Styela clava: one gene and its partner. The protein of the gene in region 1 purifies or fractionates together with the protein of each later gene. This does not show direct contact. Links are inferred from orthologs where the notes say so. Each region holds a gene or a part of one and is shown on either strand. Other genes may lie near its edges. The genes, in order: superoxide dismutase [Cu-Zn]-like; 10 kDa heat shock protein, mitochondrial-like.

The links.
Region 2: the proteins of superoxide dismutase [Cu-Zn]-like (region 1) and 10 kDa heat shock protein, mitochondrial-like purify together in Homo sapiens (affinity purification with mass spectrometry; 3 studies listed by BioGRID, with this or other methods). This does not show direct contact. The link is inferred for Styela clava from reciprocal best matches to the Homo sapiens genes SOD1 and HSPE1.

What each region holds. Positions count from the first base shown.
Region 1 is NC_135250.1:19,865,227-19,874,074, forward strand, and holds superoxide dismutase [Cu-Zn]-like, read right to left. Parts: upstream 3,591-8,848; 5' UTR 2,419-3,590; coding exon 2,229-2,418; intron 1,651-2,228; coding exon 1,364-1,650; 3' UTR 631-1,363; downstream 1-630. Other genes in the region: peroxisomal multifunctional enzyme type 2-like, read right to left, coding at 114-167, 506-563; uncharacterized protein LOC120337233, read left to right, coding at 7,554-8,848. UniProt on the Homo sapiens protein: Destroys radicals which are normally produced within the cells and which are toxic to biological systems.
Region 2 is NC_135258.1:11,549,620-11,556,877, reverse strand, and holds 10 kDa heat shock protein, mitochondrial-like, read left to right. Parts: upstream 1-5,272; 5' UTR 5,273-5,422; intron 5,423-6,021; 5' UTR 6,022-6,031; coding exon 6,032-6,340; 3' UTR 6,341-6,520; downstream 6,521-7,258. Other genes in the region: RWD domain-containing protein 3-like, read left to right, coding at 347-1,144; 26S proteasome non-ATPase regulatory subunit 6-like, read right to left, coding at 1,610-1,784, 2,292-2,460, 2,628-2,736, 2,994-3,213, 3,506-3,651, 4,129-4,334, 4,830-4,977. UniProt on the Homo sapiens protein: Co-chaperonin implicated in mitochondrial protein import and macromolecular assembly. Together with Hsp60, facilitates the correct folding of imported proteins.

The DNA of each region.
Region 1 (8,848 bases):
CAGTTACTGCACTGAAAGCCAAAAATTTTTTTAGGGCAATTCTAAACAAATGTCGAACAGAAGTGATAGAGAACAAAATTTCCTATTGTAAAATGAATTTCGGTGTCACTTACCGACTACAGAGGCACCCCGAGAGGCAAAAGCTAGCGCATATGCTCTTCCAAGGCCTGAAATAAATAGATATGTTATTAAAGAGTTCCTGATACAATTATAAATAATAAAACAAAAATAATAATAGGAAAAAAGAACACATTTGAACTAAGGATGCTATATGACATGGAATTTGTAAATCAATTTCTAGTTGCAGTAATTTTAACATACAAGTGATATTTTTATAGCTTTATTTCATAAACTGTATTGAAGTGTATCTGGTATTGAAAGATCGGAGGATTGAGAAATGTTGTGAATGGTTTTATCTATTTTTTATTCTAAAATTTAATTCAGATTTTGAATGGCTTAAATAGATTAACTTTACATTAAAATTGTAATATATGCCTAAATTTACCTCCACCAGCACCCGTTACAATCACAACTTTCCCATCAAAACGTAGTTCGTTCGACATCTCAATGATAAGCGATGAAAAAAATTTCCAATGCCGTTCTAAGAACCTAGATAATTTAATCTAATAATCTGAAATCCACAAATATACACGAATGAAATGTTGTAATATTGCTGAAAAGAACTTTACATAGACTTGAACTAAGTTTGCATTATTTCAAAACTTATTTTCAGTTACGAAAAAACAATAAAACACAAAATCATTATTGGTTGATCTATATCACAAAAAAAGTACAAACAAAACAATGATTGTAGAGAGAACACGTATTGGCCATTCATGAGAAAACTTCAGGAACAAAATTGTTTATTGGAGCAGTAAACAAGGTTTCTGGAACATGTTTTGGATGAAGAAAAAATTTAAAAAAATGTCATGAAAATTTATGTAATACAACATATAGGTTGTTAATAATGATTTTGTCTCAATTTGTTGATTTAATTGGGCAATACTCGCAAGAATAATTTCTAAGGAATACAGATCAAAACATAAAAACCACTAAAAAACATTGATCTTCATGTTTTTAACTTCAAGCACAACTGTACCAACAAGATTGAAAACCTAAAAATAATAAACCAAATATAATAAACATTATTATCAATTACTTTCGAGTTTTCACTTTTATGTTCCACAACAGAAAACAATATCCCAACTTACGCAAAAATAAAAATTGTTGCATTCATTATCAGGACGAAATTAGACAAAAAGTCTGGACTTTTGGAAACAATAAACCAAATAAACAGACAGACAATAAAACATGATTACATATTCCAAGACACCACTGCTCATAATGACGATTTACTCATTAGTCATTTGGCTGGAGAAAGTCCAATTACACCACAAGCCAGTCGTCCTCCTGCATGACCCGTTGTTTTGCTATCAGGAAAACCACCACGGCCCAGATCATCTACATCCGCATGAACAACTATTGCCCTGCCAACAACAGAAAATTCACCATCCAGTTTAACTTGCTTATCAGTAATATCGATTGTGGCTTTCCCACTTTCATCAACCATTATATTGCCGAGATCTCCAACATGACGCTCTGTGTCATCAGGACCACCGTGCTCCTTATTATACGGATTGAAATGACCTCCTGAATGGACAAAGCAGAAATTCACTCAAGAATAATAAATTTTTGAAGATTAACATATTAATTATGGTACACTGTTTTAGCAATTAAATAGTACAGCTTAGTTTGCAGAAAATCCGATGCAGAATTCAATAAAGTTTGCCATAGCTCGAAATTTATATTCTGAATGGCGAAGAATGTTTGAGATGCTAAAATTCCAATTCCAATTCTCCCCTAATAATGGTTCACCTCAAAAAACAGAACCCATAAACTTTGTAATTACTTTCTCTTCATATCCCTGAGAGAACATAACTTTCGTGCAAAACATCTTAGATTTCATCAATTATACACAAACAGAATTTCAAACCCAAACAAGACCAAATTTTACTCTTATTATCACAGAAGTAATTTGAAGAAATATATGGGTTCTGTGTTTTTGGGGGTTACTCTTTATTTTGACAAAAAAGAAAGAAGTATGGAAAACTATCAGCTATTTCTTTATGGCCAAATGCAAATTTCAAAATGTTGATTCCCTAGAGAAATTCCACTCTCTGGACAACAGCAGTTCGTCGAAACATACTTCAAAAGTGAATAAATTTTACCTGTACTGGTGCAACCATTAGTGTAATCTCCATATTGATGAACATGAAACCCATGCTGGCCAGTTTTCAGTCCTGTAATTTCACCTTTGATGGAGCATGTACCATCACCCATATCTTTAAAATTGATGATGCCTTTGACACCTTCAGTACTTCCTTCCAGAATGCAAACGGCTGTTTTGGGAGAAGCCATTATTTTTGTTTGAATAGATATTTATTCTGCGATAAAAAAGCAATAGACACATATGAACTCTACCATTCACAATGAAAAAACTTACAAAATAACAAATATAGAACCTTCATATAAAAAAAAATACTGGTGTACCGGTAGACTAATAACTACTATGTTATACAGAGGGGATTCCACAACTATCGGGAAGATCACCCAGATATAAATATGAATATTAGAATTCACTATTTTTTCATTGTCCTTCGCATGTATCATTGTAGAGAAATCATAATTTAAGTCACACTTTACAAAGAAAAACGTCATATGTATATATATCGTGTTTTCGTTATTTATCGAGTCCATTAAGGATATTCGTTTTAAATTTAACTATATGGACATGGACAGATGTAGTTGGCACTCTCTAGAAAAATGCAGGTCTCAATTGTTTATATTCACAATAGGTATTTTCTATCATGATTTATAGAAAAAAACATGACAAAATAGCAATAATACAAAATACTATTAATGTAAAAAACCAAAACGGAATGAATAATGTGCAGGATTTGAAGATGAATCAAATAACACATATCAAAGGATGAAATAAATAGTGTACAATGCTTACGGGACAAAGCCCAAAATTCAACGATGTTAAGAAATATAGGCGACAAATAAAAATGGATGAATATTATATCAGAAAATGATTTCATAACTTGTGATCTGATACAGTGTATATTATCATATATGACAGTAGAGATTTCAAGATGATCCCATAATCATCCAGCTCCATGGAAGTTTGCAAACAGATGAGGTGATATCTTCAAAAATTTGAAAAAAATACATCAAATCATTACAGTGTTTATTAAATTTCAATTTATCGACACAAAAGAGTAAAAAGGGAACAAATTCACTAAACAGTGAGATTATTCAAGGGATTGCAAAATTAATGACGAAAACAACTTTACACATTCAATGGTACTAAATCATGATGCTAAATTATATTCACCAAAATATAACATTGTAGTAGAGAAACTTTTCCTTATTAACGCAATAATTTGCTAATTAATATGAACTAAATTATGAAATTTTTCAGACATTTAATCATCATAACATCAGGTTATATTTGATTTCTATAAAATATGTTCATTTTACAGTTTTATTACATTTTAATCCAGTTTCCAAAATGCAATCTGTTAATTTTGATGTCGGCTTAAATACAATAGAGGATGTGACTGAAGAAATACAGAAATATAATCAAACCCCCTGGAATTATATTTAAATCTATTTTGTAATCCCAATCACACCACAAGCTAGTCTTGCCCCAGCATGGCCTGTAGTTTTGCTATCATCGAATTTTCCCCGACCCAAGTCATCTTCATCTGCATGAACTACAATTGCCCTTCCAATAACGGAGTTCGCACCACACAAGGTGACTTGACTATCAGTAATATCTACTACAGCTTGTCCATTTTCTTCCGCTATGATATTGCCCAAATCTCCAACATGACGATCCACTTCTGCAGGACCAGCATGTTCTCTTAAATTTGGATTAAAATGGCCACCAGTGCTCATGCATCCTTGTGAGAAGTCCCCAAATTCATGAACATGGAATCCATGTTTTCCTGCCTTTAATCCTTCCACTATGCCGGTAATTTTGCAAGTACCATCACCTTGCAACTCCAGCAAAATGTCTCCTTTTACTCCTTTGTCGCCATCGAGCTTACAAATAGCTTTCACTTTGGTCATTGTCTTCAACGGATACCGGTACAGAAATATACCGTGTGTATATGTAGTATGAATCTTGTTGCAAACTGCACTGCTTTGGTAACGTACCGGTACCGGTACGTAAATTTATACCGTAACTACCCTAACCCAACTGCAAAGCTGCAACTGCTGAAACAGCAAACCCGGTAACCAACAATTTGAACTTTGGTAATTTTCGGAACAACACCCACCCAACAACCAATCAAACTGCGCGTTATGGTGATAGGATTTGCATATTAATTCCAAGGGATAGGGCAACCAATAGGACGGCGGCCAAGGCCCTCGTCCGGTTACCGGTACAAGTCCATTCCTGGTATATAGATAGATAGTTTATTTTGGAAACTCCTTAATACACACAAAATGAAACGGGAGATTACGGTAAGTATACTTCGGCTCCATAAAGCATAAAGGGCGAATAAATAATTGAGAAAAACAAATAAATAAAAACTGAATATGAAATCAGGAGAGCAAACAAAACCTTGGATAAGGTTCAAAACGAACAGAATATAAGATGGAAGGTTTTGCCGAAAAGAATTGGTACCTGTTCACTCTCCTAAAATTATTGAATCAATTCACTAACACACACAACCACGGGGCTATATTAAAGTTAGAAAAAAGAGATCTAGATAAATTTTATAGTATAAAATAAATAAATAAGTGAAAAAAATTAGAATAAAAATAAGAATTCCAATTAGAAACAAGAGAGCTATGCTCAAATGTATGAACACGTAGCACCAAATAATTTTGTGACGTCATAGCAGAAAATAAATAGCCCTCTAGCAAAAAATCTAATCTTTATTCACTGGAAATTTCAAAACAATTGGTCCAGTGAACAATAAGAAAAACGATTTTTTCAAAACGTGTCAAAGAACAAGAACAACAACAACATAATATTGAAACGATCGTTATGCCCACTATGTGTCCAATAAGAATTGTTTGCCACACCATTTAATAAAATTCCCAGAGTACAGATTTGTAAACAAGAGTGAACAGTATTCAATATGAAGACAAGAAGAAAAAAAGATTTCGCCAAGCTGATTATAGTTGGGAGTCAAATGCCAAATTCTGGATTATGATATTAGTAAGCCCAGCAGTCAGTTATTTGTTTTAGATGCATAGACCTGATAATGGAGAAAGCCGTAACCGAGCAGCGGTGACGTGAACCACCCTACGGTGGAGAAGAATCCATCAATCCTCTCGCACATCATCCCCCACGACATTCGAACCTGCTAACCCACGTCGTGGTTGTCGGCGATAGAAGTTTCTTTTCAGTTGATAATATTTTGAACGCTGTTCTTCCTTGCGTTCCGACCGGCTAATTTTTATCGATGATTGCTTTTCTGTTTTGACCGGAGTTTCGCGGGCTTTACTGCATCCGACGTGTCACGCGTGGCTCTTGCATCTCGACTTTACGCGTCGTAGGACGTTCTTGTTTAATCTTGTTATGATGTTAGTGGTGTGGTTTCGCATTATCCGCTTTATTGACTTAGCGTGTGGGTGGCATTTGGTCTCGTTAGGTAGAACTGTGGTGAGGGTATCGTAACCGGGGACCCATATGACCATCGTCGTCATTTATTGTTTTAATTGTTCATGTATTTTATATTTCATTCTTATTAACTGCTTTCTAAATTTAGTTGCTATTTTTATGCCAATAACGTTATCGTTCACGTTTCCTGTCAGTTTCTTGTCGATTTAGGCCTTTGGAGCGTTATCATATGTAAGTTTATTTTCTATTAACTTTAGGTTATGCATTTTCTTTCCGCCCTCATATTGTGATTGTTTTTTGATTATTTCATTTTATTTACAGTCAACCGTTTTACAATAAACGCGTATGACATGGAACATCTGTGTGCCTAAATCTGACAAAGTTGAATATGACGCATTTGTTGAAGAAGTCAAATACTAAAGAATCTGGAGCAGCAGTGGCTTCATCGTCGACATTTACGGAAGAAGGCGACTCTGCAGCTGACGAAACGTTTGAGGGCTTGTCATCCTTATCCACGCTTAGACAAAAGCGTATCAACACAGAGACTGAGTTTGAATCAGTCATGACCAAAAGTCGAAATTTGATAAACGAGAAGGCTCGAAGATCGCAGCTGGCATGCCTAAAAACAGAGTTACATTTTAAACTGGCCGCCTATAATAAAATTATATCGAACACATTACCTCAAATTCGCAACGCAGAGTCGAAAGCTGCTTTCGAAGAATGCGTTCAGAAAGTTATATCTGAAGTTGAAGGTATGAACGATGAAATTGATAGTTACATCGACCGTGAACCTGAAAGATCGTGCGTGGCTCCTGACGAAGGGAACTCTCAGATTTCAAGTGAAAGAATGGAAGAGGACAGCGATAATACAATAAATCTCCAGCCAGCGTGCGCCAAGCAGTCCGGTGGTGAAATGGGGGCGGCGACTGACCAACTTCGAGAATCTAGAGCACGAGAACCCGACGATTGCCGAGAGACACCAACTCTTTTAAAGAGTCCCTTTATGAGCCACAGGTTCAATAACTTTGACGAACACGACGTGTTACAATCAACTCAAAGAAAAAGTGCCCGCTTCGAACCAGAGACTTTTACCGCGTCAGATAAACGTCGTGAATATACGATTTCTTACACTCCAAGACATTACCAAAATCCTTCACCAGCAAACCAAATGCCGTTGCCAGACCAATCGGTAGACTCCTGGATCGATAATCTCCAACCAAATCAAGCAGGATCCAGAACGGTAAATGATAACATTTCTCTAGCTGAGCAAACGTGTTTATCTTTGAGTTTAAATTCTAAAATGTGGGCTGAGCATCATTTGCCGCCGGTACAAATAAGTCCGTTTGATGGGAGAGCTATAAACTGGCCTAATTTCATTGAATTGTTTTATGAAAATGTTCATTCACGGTTAGACGATGATGGTCAACGCATGGTGAGATTGTCCGCGTATTTGTCGGGTTCGGCGAAGCGTCGTGTTGAGGGATTAGGTACCGCCGGTAGTCATTACATACTGGTTTTAAAGGAATTAAAACGCCGCTACGGACAGCCGGTACTGATCGCACGGGCGGTGCTTGATCGAGTTGTAAATGGAAAACGTATGTCGCCTCTTTCGGCCGATAGATTGCTAAATTTTCACTCAGACGTGCGTGACTGCGTGGTGAATCTCAAAAAGATGTGTTATTTGGCTGACATCAGTAGCGTCGAGAATGTAAGGAGGGTTTCAAGCAGGATTTCTTAAGAACTGAACTCGAGTTGGAATAAATTTGTTGTAGGTTTTATTCACAAAAACTCTAATCCGACATTAATTGACTTTGAGCAATGGTTGTGGGAAAGAACTGAAGAAATCGCCAATCCTTTTTCTCCAGATGTTACTTGCAATGTGATCAATAGAACTGATTTAACTGACCACGAGATGCCCAGAAGCGCTCGTCGCCGATTTCCGACTCCATTTTCAACGTTATCAAACTTGGAATCCGATAATACGTCATATAGTGACGCATCACGTTGTCAATTCTGCAATGCTCGCCATTCTTTGAGAAGTTGTGAGACGTTTTTCGGTGCGACCGATTATGTAAAACGTAACTTTGTTGTAGATTACAGACTTTGCTTTAAATGTCTTGAACCGGGCCATCGTGCATTTATGTGTAGATGTGATGTCGAGTGTAGTATATGCAATGGGAAACATCACAAATGTATTCATGGAATTCGCATGTTTGAAAGCGTCACAAGACCAATAAACCGACAGGGTATAAACAATGCGGTGTCGGTAACAACTAGAGTTCAATTTCAGTTGCTGCCTGTTCTGGTTAGAGGAGCTAATGGACGCTCCGAATATACAGTTGCTTTGCTTGATTCGGCAAGTCAGGTCTCTCTCATCCATCCCAAACTCAAAACTAAGTTGGATTTGCGTGGACGTCGTAAAAGGCTCATGTTAACCACCCTCGGAGGAACTGGGGCCTTGCATGACTCGGAAGCGGTCGAACTTTTTGTGCGTGACAAATTGAATCCCGACGGCAAAGAACTACATCTAAAGTCAGTTTTCGTATGCGGCACCAGAATTCCCCACCCTGAAAGAAGTCATAAAGATTTTGAATCCTTCCATCATTTACGTGGATTATCACTTCCTGACACTAGAGAAAACAAAGTTATGTTGCTCATAGGTGCGGACCTTCCATTTGCCCACTTTCAACTTGAAGGACGTGTAGGGGGAGACGATGAACCGATTGCAATAAGAACACCACTCGGATGGACTTTGCTAGGCGCAAACAAACGCGCTTGTGGAGACGATTTAATTCATGCTAATTGTCATTTATTACACGATGATTACAATATCTTGCAAGACCAAGTTAAGCAATTTTCGAGTACGGAAGCGATGGTAATGAGCTACAACACGAAGCGCGCCGAATCTGTGGAAGATCGCGTGGCTGCGAATGTGAATAGAGCTAAAACGTCTATTGTTGATGGGCATTATAAAGTCGGCTTTCGGTGGCGTCGCGATATTTCCATTATGTTGGAGAACAGTCTTATTGCCCGTACGAGATGTAGGAATCCGAAAAAACGACTGTTGGAAAATGACGGTCTGAGAGACATGTACGGCACCTCTATGAGGAAAAACATCGAACGTGATTGGGTGCGAAAGCTGACTGTTAAAGAACGTGATACTTTGGGTCCTCGAACTTGGTATCTTCCTCATCATGGAGTTGAGAA
Region 2 (7,258 bases), on another chromosome or scaffold:
ATACAAGCTGAAAAGAGACAGCAATAGTTTGTACGCTCTCCAGGAAATAAACCTCACTGAACTTCATGCATGGTCCGCGCTTTCTTAAAACCAAACATTCTATCAATAACCATTATGATGAAATTGCCACTCATAATTAGCCTAGCTTTTTTTAAATGATTTGTGTTATGGAAATATTCCAAAAAACAGACTAAAATTTAAGAAATTGGTTAATTCGCTAGCATAGTCATGTATTTTCATTTTTGATCCTGGAATTTGTTTATATTTAGTCTGATGTATTGTATATATGTATTTGTATTATATATTTGTTTGTGAATAGTCTATCTTAAATTTTTACGATACCACTATGTCCATTCTGGATGAAATTGAAGCCGTGAAGTCTATTTATTGTCAGCAAGGAGAGTTTGAAGCTAATGATCTGGAAAGCTCTTTATCTAAATCGTTTAAACTCAATTTGACACACGCGGAGGAGAATTGTCAACAACTCAGAATTACTTTTTATATATCTCACAAATATCCAGAAGTTGTGCCACATGTGACAATTGATTCACCAATGCTGACAAGAGAATCTTCCTCTGGACTGAACAGCGAGATGTCCAAGTTTGCGACAGAGAATAATCTTTTGAACAGTCAAATGTTATTAGACCTTATATTGTGGATTAAAGATAACGTGGCAAAATTTGCTTCTGGTGTAAATTCGAATAGACTTCAGGGTTGCGGAGATGAAGGAAGTCTTGCTAAGAATAAAACGAAGGAAATTTGTGTGATACAGCTTGATCATATGCGCTCAAAAAACAATTATCTAAAAACGTTACAAAAATGGGCAACTCGATTACAAGTCCAGGGTGTTGTTTTATTTTACAAGCATCTCATTTTTATAATCTTGTACGGTAACAAGAATGATATTAAAGAATATTTAAAAAAGATGCGAACTCAAAAAGTTGATATTGATTCAGCTGGTCATGCTTGTAAAGAACGGCTCATGACTATTTTATTAAGAGATTCTTATGAAGACGACCTTGTACCATTTGAGGGCTTCCATGTTCATGAACTGTCCGAAATAAACGAGGTGGAAAGCCTGTTTAGTGAAGGATTCACGTCCATGTTGTATGACATACTTAGACCATTGCTTACTCGTGCGTAAGAGTTCATTTAAATTCATTCATGGCTGTGAACAATAGAATGTGCTAATTGGTTGTAAAAATAAGGCCAAACACATGCTATGTTCACATTACACATTAAAATTTGTTGCTGTATTCTATTCTCGTCACATACTAGAAAACCACATTTTATCTGTTTTGAAAATCTTATGGGTATAATATCCAATATTAGTTTCACAATGTTCATACACTTGCTTTGGCTGTTTTTACTATATTTCTAAGGAACCCGTTTGGTATTTATTGTAAATGGTGGCTCGTCATTTTTTCATCTAAGGGATTGGCTTGTTTTAGCCTGCTACCGCATAGCTCTCTTATTATCTCCACTGAATTTGCCACTCACAGAATGTGTATTTTTACCACCACTGCACATTTGTTTGAAATTTTATATATACAACATGGTACATTATGGACACAAGAATTGTTTCTATCATACGAAATAAAGAGTATAATTAGATATTGATGACTCTTGATAGTTTTTGAACTCTGTTTAGCAGCAAGTCTCCTTTCTTTATTGTCTCCTGATATTGCCAGTTCTTGCTATCAGGTCTGTTGGTCTCAACGATCCCACCGACCTTATCAATTTTGCAATGCAGTCTCCCAACAGCTATGAATCTTGACAACTCCCTGTGTAAACGAGATGAGATTTTTTTTTTATTTGCAAGAATTAGGTTGATCGTATCAAGGTCACACTCACTCGGAAACAGAGGACGCCGATCTCTGAGCAAAGTATCAGAGGGCTCGTGAGACTATATAGATGTAGATATTCTTTTGGAAGGACAAGTGAATTGCGTGAATGGGAGTTAGCAGTTCAGATGCCGAATACAATTCATACTAAACTGATATACTCGATTGATAGTGATATTCATTTACTCATCAGGCAATGCAAATTGTCCACATTTCTGTTGCTCGTATTCGAATCAAAAGCAGAGTCCAAGACTCAATTCAGACAGACAAGGATTGAAAATTTTCAAGTACTTAAGCCCTTAGTTAGCGACATTCCAATTTCTAAATGGAAGATCAAGAAGAAATTTTTCTCGTATGCAAAGTAATAACAATATCCACATCTGGTAGCTTCCCATTGATGGTACAAAGTTCACCCCATAGCTAATATAATGATTCAGGTAAACATACCTATCAATGAATTCAACAGTAACTCCAAATGCTTCAGCCATATATTCTAATGTAAGACTACGATATGATTCAAGGAGTTGTGTATAAGCAAGTATTCTCATCTCACGAGTGTAGTATCTATAATGAGGATTCAGCAATCTATCTCTCTTCATTTCCACCTCAACTTGAGCTGTAATATTCAAAAATAAATAAATTTCACTTCTTTAATAAAAAGATAATATGAAATGAATTTAAGACATTTACATCCTTATTCCAAAATCACATCACACAGAGTATTATATTACCCAATGAAAAACAATTATTAAGAATTCAAATTTTCCACGTTCTAAGTCATACCTAGACGCTGGAAAAACTCTGCATAATGACAATCATACAATGAGAACAGGTAACTTCTGCATTCCTTATTGCTATGCAAAACTTCCAAGATTTCTGAACCTTTTACAACCTGAATTGATGTTTGAAAAGTTAGTTCAGTTATATGATTATAACCTGCAAAAATAGGGTAAACGATGGTTCAATTGCTAGTAATTACTCTTATCAACACTTGGCCCAATGTCCTAACTATAGGCTTGAATTGAGTTATCAATATATGTTGTTAATATGTACTGAAGTAAATTGTAGTTAAGTTTCGCATAATGATAAATCATCACTGAATTGTGTAGTAAAAAAATGTAGTAAAGTTGTGCATTAAATAGAACTCACTTTTTCTCTTAACTCGGTTCTATCAAGAGCAAGCATACTGATGTAAACAGCATATGTGACAAAGCATTTGTAATCCATAAGTTCATAGGATGTGAATGTTGATACAGTATCCAGAAACAAATTTGCTGATTTCTTGAAATCTCGAATCGCAATACAATACAAACCTTCATAAACTTTTAGTCTGTTTCGCCGATCCCAATCACCACCTTCCTCTATTAAACTGAAAAACAATAAAAGTTGGTATAGATCGTTAACAATCGTTATCACAAACACTTATCATAAACAGAAATAAATTGATGTATCGTGGTGTGAAAATGTTGACATCTGTACCCTGGTCACACTGTCTACCAATCCAGGATGTAAAAAATGAAGGCAGAATCGCTAGATACTTGCTACTTGTACATGGCTTTGTTTCGAGAGAAAATCCAAATTATATATCACCTAAGGACAAATAGTGCATGCCACAAAGGGCTTAATTCTAAACTAAAATGCACAACAAATATATTTCATACATTTTTGCCTTCTCTATGCTCTTGGTAATCAGATCATGATCCATAAAAAACAATCCCAGTCGAATTCTGTAGAAAATGATGTCAAGCTTGTGTCCAAGTGCAATGGTCTTATCATATGCTTTCTGGAAAACTTCGAGAGCGTCATCCTGAAAGTTATTTGAGGAAAGGCATAAATATATGTAATTAAGACTAATTTTTACGAGCATGTCTTTACTGTGCTATTACATATTGTTGAAAATCATGAAATTGTAGACTAATATTAGAACATTTAGAAGCTATATTGAATTGATGAACAGCTCATTTCTAAACCTTAATTGGAAGTGAGAGTCCTGACTTTGCATGTTTTTATTGACATTGGAGTCGCATTTTCAAACCCCCCGGAATCCGGAATCCAATTGAATATTTCAGAATCTGGATTGCAGATTTCAAACATATAATCAAAATGAATAAAGTTGACAAGGAAGGCTTGCATGTGACAAAGTTATTATAATCAAAATTTAAACTTTCTTCAACTCGGAATCGAGAGTCTGATTTGTTTTTCAATTGAGTCGGGCAAAAATGATCCCAAAATCCACAGCCCCAGTCGACTGTTATGAATAAACATTCTAGGGAATTGTTGTTACCTTGTTACCAATTTTGCACAAATATTCAGCCTTTGCAAGTAAAGCATCTCTGACTTCACTTTCATATTCCATTTCTTCAGTTTCTGTTATTTTATCTTCAAGTTTTTTTAATGTCTTCTCATTTGTATCCTTCAATTTCTTTAAAAGTGTATTGTTAATTTTCATTCCAAGTTCTTTGCAAACAATTTCATAATAGGGTGCCATCTCTGTAAAAAAGAAAACGTCTAAATTACACATCTTGTGGCATATTAATTTATTATCATTCAAGCATATTGATGATTATTGGTTGGTTGGAAAAGATGGGTCTGTATAAACTGTTATTTCAGAATAGGAGGTAATTCTACATTTAGGTTGGCACCATAGTAAACAAGAAGTTAAAGTCGGCCAACGTCAAGTTTGAAAAGAATGAATTTCGATTAAATAATGGTCATTGATACAATACAAACATTAATAATACAAACTTGTCACGACTCATGAACACATTGTTCATATATTATTCAATCAATCTTAAACTGTATAATCGTCATGTTTTCTCAAACTTAAAACAAATCTTAAATAAAATCATAAATGAGTTTTCATGAGTTTGAGAACAATAATACTGTAATAAAATGCAATAATATTCAGATAGAAACACCAATTCTTCTTAAAAACCAATTTGAGGAATTCATCCTAATTTTAGCAAAATAACTTCTAAAACTTGCCATTTGCTTCGATCGCTTCCATAAATTGTTTTTTAATTTTTGTTTGCTGGATTTCCTCATCGTCCGACGTTAATAAGAACTTCAACTGCGCGACTTCCAAGTCTGGAATCTTTTTCAGACCTTCTTCTTCTAAATTTTCAACCGGCATTATGTGATGTAAATGTATAAAATGCTGAAACTAAATAAAGACGGATTGAACTGAAACGCTACAGATAGATCAAATAAGACGAACACACACTAACTCAAGAAATGAGCTGATTCATATAATATGATTAAGCGATATTTTGATGGATTTATTACGTCATATGAATTAATGTTAATGTCTGTAACCACAATATTTTATTCAAGAAACACTTTTAAAATATTTTTATTCATTTATTTTAATATTTACATACATATTGAAACTTATTTTCCCAAAAGTATTCACTTCTCGTTGTAGTATGTTACTAGGTGTCACAATAAGTTGTTTATTTTTCATTTCAGAAACGCATGTTGCAACCCTGGTGAAAATCGAGCGTGGTTTTGCTTCGGGAAATTTCTTCGCCTCTTCTGTTGAGTTGTGTTTGACCTGCCGCATCGCGTTTAACGTTGAGGTGAGTTTTTTATGAGTGATTTTATTTTGAGCATAGCAGTACCGTTACTAAAACATACATCTGCAATTTTGCGTGGGACTTCTTGATCTAGCACTGCATCAGGGCTCTTACAGTCTTACCGTACGACCTCTGAATCTTCTAACTTAGTGCAATCACATCTCTATCATTTTATGAATTCAACCGGTGTTAAAACTAATGCACTATGCCAATTGGCCACAGAAAGAAATTTCCCTAGCCCAACTATCACTTGTTATGTCCGTATGTTTCATGGTAGGCTTTGTATTTGCCATAGTATTACTAATACTGTAAACAATTTTAGTTCTTTATTTTCACTATAATAGACTACTTATTTAAGTACACATTTTAAAATTACACAAAAGCGGGGTGCTACTTGTGCATAGTACTAGCTAGGATTCATTAAAGATTGAATAAATAAAGTATTTTTTGTACATAGCAAGAGGGGAATGAGGAGTTCCAAAAAAGCGAAGGGAGGAATTTGATGAAAAAAGACCAAGAAGTACGTGCTGAACACTTAGGATTCGGCACTCCTAATAAAATATGGTTTCACAGCACTTCTTATCTTATCGTTTATCTTTCAGAAAATCAAAAATGGCAGCAAAAGCTTTCAAGAAATTTCTGCCGCTATTTGACAGAGTGTTGGTTGAACGAAGTGCACCAGAGTTAACGACAAAAGGAGGAATTGTTCTCCCTGAAAAATCTGTTGGCAAAGTTTTACAAGCTAAAGTGGTTGCAAAAGGTCCAGGCACGAAAGACAAAGATGGCAAACTTATTCCAATGAGCGTTGACGTTGGTGATAGTGTTTTACTTCCAGAATATGGTGGCACAAAAGTCTTGCTTGATGACGATGAATACCATTTATTCCGTGATGGAGATATTCTAGGTAAATTTGAGAGTTGAAAACTGCTATTACCCATGCAAAAACTGAAATTTTCCAATCATGTCTGGAGCTACCATCGTTGCAAAAAAACTGGCAGAGCAGCAGTGTTTTTGAATAATTACCTATTGTAATATATTATCGTAATTCGCTGATACATTTGTGTGTATACTGCCGCTGTGGTCATTAAATCTTTCTACCAATTCTTGATGTTGCGGGGAACAGTTAACGATGCCGGTTGCAAATTTTGTATCATTTTAGAAATAAGTCTTCTATATGCACATATGACAGTCTAGAACAGGCGTGGGCCAGGGACCAAAAATTTTGCTCACTTAGACTGGCAAGCCATGTAAGGGTGATGTGAAAAGTTGAAGAATATTTACAGTGTTACAAAAGCAAATTAGGAAAACAATAAGCCTTTTGCGAAAACTAAACGTTCCTTGAGCTATTTTTCAGATAAAAGATCAAAATTTGGTTTTAGTTTCGTTGCGTAGCATCGGGCGGGCCGGATTTGGCCCATGTCAGGTCTAGACCTTTTTTCGTTATAATTGCGAGCCAATGGTGTGCAAGAATGCTCAAATGAACATCATTAGGACCAACTTAAGCATGAACCCACCCACGCATCCATTTTCACTAAATTATTTTCAAAATGCCCAGACACTTTTATTAAATGTGAGCCTCAAAACATCACTGCAACAAGATGACACTTAGAATTATTTGATACCACTGAAAATTCACAAGATAGATTTATTGAATGACAAGTTTCAAAGAAAAATATATTTCACCAGAGAAATCACTGATCAATTGCACTTGGAATATGGCATCAGGAAACAATTTAAACAGCTTATATTATTTTTTGATTTCTTTCTCGCGCAGCTGAACATCTTAAGCTTTTCGTCCCAATCGCTTCTTTGAGATAAGAACACACACCAATGTGCGGA